2 linked regions of the Danio rerio genome follow. The protein of the gene in region 1 interacts with the protein of each later gene in a pairwise test. Links are inferred from orthologs where the notes say so. Each region holds a gene or a part of one and is shown in the gene's direction. Other genes may lie near its edges.

Region 1 (3,661 bases):
CGCACACTGAATTTATTTTAAGTTCTCACTCAGAATAATTGGCTTGTTGCATGTATTTTTTTACTGTGATAATGATTAAATTCTCATCAAATGGACTGTATGTAAACCCAAAGTAGCTAGATTTTCGGCCTTTTAGTCAACAGCAAAAAAAAAATAAAGTTTTTGAGATTTTAATATCTATAATAAAAATTTTAAAAATGTTAAACAGTAAATGTTTCCTTATTATTAACATTATTATCAGATGGCACTATGACAAGTGAAGAGGCTGAAGCCGCTGTGATTCTCTTTTTGCAGGCAGACAAACGGGCACACCACAATGCGCTGGAGCGCAAACGTAGGGACCACATCAAAGACAGCTTTCACAGCCTTCGGGATTCTGTTCCTGCATTGCAAGGGGAAAAGGTTGGTGAATGTCATTGGTAAAAGCATGAGGAACACAAGTAGACATAAAGGATGTTTGTTTTGTGTTCTGCTTGACAATGAAAGGTCTATTTTATGCTGAAATGGTTGCATTTTTGACTGTTTAAATTGCTTTTACAACATGGTTAATGTGGCATTTCCAATATGATTGAAGTTGAGTGGAGGTGTGAGTGAAAAGTGTTAGGAGAATTAAGCGCACTGTAGATCCAGACTGATTGATGTGATCCAAGTACAGGCGTGGTGCCAGGAAGCCATTACAGGGGGAAATGCGGTTTCTCCTTCCTCTTGTGTCTCATGTCTGAAACAGAGGCCTCAAGATTCTTGTTGTTTGACCCTTAGGATAGAGCCATGTTTATTTATGCTGTTTATGCAAAAGTGTCAGGTTTGAGTTCGATTTTAGTCTATGAAAATTTACTCAAGTCATAAGAGTAGGGATGCTTGCTTGTATTGGTTATCAGCTGATAATAATTTACATGTATTCAGGAGACATTATATCTAAAGTGACTTATAAATGAGGAAGATGGACAATTTTATAATAGTGGTGATCAATTTGAGAATTACTGGTTATACGAAGTTTTAAATATTACATAGACAAGGCATTGCTTGATTGTTGGATGTTTAGCTGTGCTACATTTTTACATGTAGATTAAGGTAGTCATGCTGCTGCAGTGGTGTATCTTTATAAACACTAAATAATGACTTGGATTGTATAGCTATTGTCAAAATGAATAATGTACATTTATATTAAAATGCATGAATTTAATTTAGATAAGCAATTAAATTAAAGTTTTTAGTATTTTTAAAAATATTTGCTTGTAATTCTTTTGCATTAATTCTTATTGTATATAAGACAGAGTTTAGGGCAAAGTTCATCCAAAAATAAAAATGTATTCCTCCTTTGCCCGCCCTTGGGTTATCCAAAACTTGCTGCTTCTGTTAAAGCTCTAAAACAGGACTCAAATTCAATTCCTGGATGGCCGCAGCTCTGCAGTTTTGCTCCAACGCTTTCAAACAAACACAGCTAATACAAATAATCTACGTGTTCAAAAGAGTCATGAACACGTTCATTAGATGGATCAGCTGTGTTTGATAGGGTTGGAACAAAACTGCAGAGCTGCGGCCCTCTAGGAATTTAGCTTGAGACCTATGCTCTAAAAAATGGAGATGTTGGGAAGAATGTTGATAACCAGACATGAAAACAAGAATGTAAGATTTTTGGATGAACTATCCCTCAAGTTGTGTGCTTTCAGTTGTGATTATTTGAATGAAATGACTTTAAGGTTCATGTGTGTGCAATAAAACTGCATTCCGTGCGTCAAATTCTAGTTTTTCATTTGTTGCTGACAGCAATCTATCAAACAGGCATCCCGAGCTCAAATCCTAGACAAAGCCACAGAATACATCCAGTACATGCGACGGAAAAACCACACACACCAGCAGGACATCGACGACCTGAAGAGGCAGAACGCCCTGCTGGAGCAACAAGGTATGTGTAATTCCTTGAACATTTTGCAGTTCCCTCGTACCACATCCAAAACATGCCATCTGTTTAATTTCCAGTACGGGCACTGGAGAAAGTCAAAGGGACCACGCAGCTTCAGGCCAACTACTCGTCTTCAGACAGCAGCCTGTACACCAACCCCAAGGGCAGCGCCGTGTCGGCCTTCGACGGCGGGTCTGATTCCAGCTCCGAGTCCGAGCCGGAGGAACAGCGCACCCGGAAGAAGCATCGCCCGGAGGATAGCTAAACCCTGGATCCACAAAGTTCTCCTCTGAGGGGAGGGAGAGTCACAGCAATGGCCTGTTTCATGTTGTATTTTGTGTACCTCAATCTCCCCAAACCACCTTGATGATCAATCTCTTTTAAGTGAATGTCGATTCTACACCAGAAGAAACTCGAGAGCGAGGGACGTCTGCTAAAGGAGGAGAAAACAAGGCTTGTTTTTACTCTCTCTCCCTCTCCGACTGTGTTCGTCCATCTTGCGTCCTGGCGCACGCAACAACAAACGATGATTTTAAACCCAAAATGAGGCAGCTTTGCAACTTAAGGACATGATGCTTTGTTTTTTTGTTTTGGTTTTTGTACCCTTGTCTACAATCCCTCCAGGTTGAAATCCCAGAGGGCGAATGAGGCGTACAACTCCTAGCACTGCTAAAATATACGTTTTTGTTGAATATCTTAAAGCCTGCTTAGAACCTACCCTTAGATAAATTGTCCTGAGTGATTTGCCTTTCTAAATATTTGTTACTTTTTCCATAAAGGAATGTTTTTGAAGCATCTATCAATGTACCCCCTTGTTAGACCTATGGGATGAGTGATACAGTTTGACATTATCGATAAAATCCCTTATTTAAAAAAAAACAAAGAAAAAAAGAAAATCAACATGCTTTTGGGGAAGGCTGCTGAGCTTGTGTTGTATTTGTTGTTTTAGCCTGATGTAGTGAAGTTTACAAGATGGGGGGAAAAAGATTTTTTTCTTTCTAAAAAAAAATGGGTTTAAAAAGTGATGATGAAGCATATATTGTGCATCTGTCATCTGAGCCTCCCAAACATGTATTTTATGTATTTCACTCCATATTGGGAATGTAAACGTTCCAAATAATGTTTCCCCTCCACAAAAGATAGTCAATATTGAAAGAGTAGATTCATGTCGTGACTTTTAAAGGTAAATGTTCTAAATGTTCATTGGAAATTTGACCGCTGCACACTGCGAAAGTTGCATTTTGAGTGTCTAGGAGGCGTGTGTGTGCGTGCGTGCGTGCGCGCGTGTGTATATCTTTTACCATATTTTCCTCTTAGGACATTAGTAGAACAGAGTAGGTCTTTCTTTGTCTGATTCCATTCCATGGAAATTACAGGTATGTTGTACATACTGCCAACAGTTGTCTTGCAAGTTGAGGCCTACCTTTACATTGAGAATATAAATAAAACTATTTTATCCTTTACATATGCTGTGTGCTTCCTGTATACCAGTGGTTCCCAGTCATTTAGACTGTAGGCCTCTCGTTGTCCAAAACTGACTTTTTTGTGTCTTTTAGAGAAAACCACATTGGCTTCACATTAGGGCTGAGCGATATGACAGTGCAATAACTATTTTCCATATTGAACGTTAACGATATATATTTCACTATAAGCTAATGCTTCCAGATTTAAGATTATTTCAACAATGACTGAAGCCACAAAAAGGAGAGGGTCCATTAAATAGCATAACCTATTTTCGGTGGGTTTCCAAGACCAACA
Region 2 (2,831 bases), on another chromosome or scaffold:
TTATTTTTAAATGATTGTAATTTTCAGTGGATTCTGCAAGCCTTCCAAATATCAGCAATGTTATTTCTCTGGCGGAGAATCTAGTAGTACCACGGAAAGTTGTGGAAGATAAACCTGTTTTCCAAGCACAGCCAACATCTGTGGACAATCAGCAGAATTCTTCCAATGACAAAATTCCAGATTTGGAGCAAAAGACTGATGAGGCTCCATCCACGAATGTACCCAAACAATCAGTCGTAGAAGATCAGAAAGGTGCATCTGTACCCAAGTCCAACCCAGAAGTGCCGGAGAATAAGAGTCCCGATGACAGCGATGATCCTGAGGATGAAAATTTACTGTCTTTGCTGGATGAACTTGTTCTTCTTAGCCAACAGTTGACTAATGAGGATGAAGATGAGAGAATTGCCGTGCCAGGTGATGTACAGTCTTGTTCTGACAAACCGGAAGATCAAGAACCGGCAGACGACCGAGCTCTAAGTCCTTTGTTCTTAACTCTAGATGAAGATCTGATGTCCCCAGACTCTAAAGATGAAATCGATATCCCACCCAAAGTGGATGACCTGGTCAAAGTTATCTTTGGGTCAGATTCCCCTTCGGTTTCATCTGAATCCGGGGTTGCACAGTCAACAAATGCTTCAAGCCCACATGCATCAACATGCAATGCTACAGGTGATGGACTTACTCCCCCACCTCTGTTGCACATGAAAGCTGCATATGAAGCTGCATCAGGCCAATCTGCCAATGAGGGAACCAGTGTGACATGGCGGCCTATGCCTAAACTGGTTCCTCTAGGGTTGAAGGCTCAAGATGCTGGTAAGGTAATCAATCCCTCAATCCCCAATCTGGACTCAAGTGAGCAAGATACACCACAAATGTGATCTACCAATCATTGAATCAGGTACAGCTGCTGCTCATGTTGTTTAATGTACAAAATAGGATGTGTTTTTATATGTATTTATTTTTTTTGTTTGCTGTGTAAGACGTGCTGCCATGGGCACCACATATTGTGCCTCTGGGATATCCAAAGACGTTTAGTCAGTTTTACTTTATAATTTTGGCGTTATTTTTTTGTTTATTCTCAACATACTTGACCGGCAAGACGTCAATTGAATTGTCCTCTTGTATATCCACTCTTTGTGGCGATAGTCGAAAGAAGCCGTTAACTCATTCTACCCTCCATATTGGAGCTTGTTGTTTATTTCCCACTGGAGCTCATTAAAAATAAAAAGTTACTTGATCTTTAAACATAAGATTGTTACTCCCTTAGCGCCATCAAGGTGAACGGATAACAGTTGTTTCCGCTGGAGTAGGAGGGCGTTTTTTCCGGGTGACCTTTTTAGGAATAATTAAATTTACCCAGTGACTTTTATTAGTAAAGTGGTTTCACCCGTGACTTTATCTGCTAATGAGATTACTCAAATGCCATTGTCTTTACATCTAGCTAAAACATCACTGTCTGTTAAGCCCATTGAATGCATGTTAAGGCAATAATACCTGTTAAACCTTTCTGGAACAACATACTATTCTTTCAGAAGTTGGGTATATACATTAAAAGTTTATATTTTATGTTGAGTGCCTTTCAAAAGGTTCTTCTGTATGCATATTGGACCATAGAAAGGTTTTATTGTATTAGTATACCAGGAATAGTAATGAGAACATAGGAATACAAGAAAAACTTTATATCAGCTTTAGTATTTGCTGCGGTTTTTGAGGTGTTACTACTGCTGTTTTAATTATTTTGTCTTTTTGTTTGCTTTAAAAAGAAATCAGGAAGGTTTGAGTGTTTCTGGCATTTGAACGTTTTAGATGTGAAAACCTGTTCTTGCTTCACCCTTCTCCTCTTTAGAATAAATTACACGTTTCAAAGGGTTTTAACATTTAAGTGTAACACTACCAGCGAGACGGTTAGATTCCTCATTTTAAGCTTGAATATATATATAAAGTTCTCACTATGCAACTGTTTTGCTTTAGATTCAGACAAGACAGATATCGAAAACAACACTGCATAATTTCATTAAAACAAGATGCTATGGTCTTTCCTGCATATTTAATGCTAAACTGTTATATTTTGTAAATAAGTTAGCTTGGTAAAACCCTGTATATTGGCAAGGGAACTCTTCTTGAATGTTGTAAATATGTAAAATTATTCCTTTTGTTAGTCTGAAAACTGTCTGTTAAAATACTTATTTTTATATGCTATTAATCAGTGCTCTCTCACCTTTGTAAAAGCAATGGATATGTCAATAAAGTCTGTGAAAATATAGTTTTTCTCGCATCTACATTAATGCTTCTGTTTTTTAGGTTACAAATGGTTTTAATCTTAAATAAAAAGCATATCTCTACATTGTACTTGGGTATATGTTACTTTTAGGATAGCTTTACAAATAGTTCAGACATTAATAAATACCTTAAAGATTCAGAAGTCATTTTAAATCGGATACAGACATCAGAGAATTTCACAAATGGCTAATTATCAACTGATGGTCATTACCTTGCAACCAACTCCCCAAAGAGAATACGTATGTACTTCCAAGAAGAATCAGAGTTGATATAAAGCAGTCGACAATCAGGTGTACCCAAACCTCTTTCAGATTTCTCAAGGTAAGGTACGTCTATTGTTTATTGCATCATTGGCTTTATGTTAAATGATCCTGAAACTCTGTTGACTTCATCGAAACCAAAATGATGAATTATTTACAAGAGGTAGATATCTAACTTTACCTTTTTTTAAATTTACAAATGATATAGACCGAGCCGAAGACATGTCGGCAGTAAACAACATTTCTTGGGCTTGGGCAAAGAACTGCACCTACTCCAATGATCTGGCCCTT

Evidence for each region.
Region 2: the proteins of max (region 1) and mgaa interact in binary tests that used the Homo sapiens proteins (3 or more experiments, as listed by UniProt). The link is inferred for Danio rerio from reciprocal best matches to the Homo sapiens genes MAX and MGA.

The regions. Positions count from the first base shown.
Region 1 is NC_133195.1:31,569,159-31,572,819, reverse strand, and holds the end of max (protein max), read left to right. Parts: intron 1-294; coding exon 295-402; intron 403-1,767; coding exon of another isoform or gene 1,768-1,782; coding exon 1,783-1,906; intron 1,907-1,980; coding exon 1,981-2,168; 3' UTR 2,169-3,368; downstream 3,369-3,661. UniProt on the Homo sapiens protein: Transcription regulator. Forms a sequence-specific DNA-binding protein complex with MYC or MAD which recognizes the core sequence 5'-CAC[GA]TG-3'. The MYC:MAX complex is a transcriptional activator, whereas the MAD:MAX complex is a repressor.
Region 2 is NC_133192.1:11,779,134-11,781,964, forward strand, and holds the end of mgaa (MAX dimerization protein MGA a), read left to right. Parts: intron 1-27; coding exon 28-878; 3' UTR 879-2,261; downstream 2,262-2,831. UniProt on the Homo sapiens protein: Functions as a dual-specificity transcription factor, regulating the expression of both MAX-network and T-box family target genes. Functions as a repressor or an activator.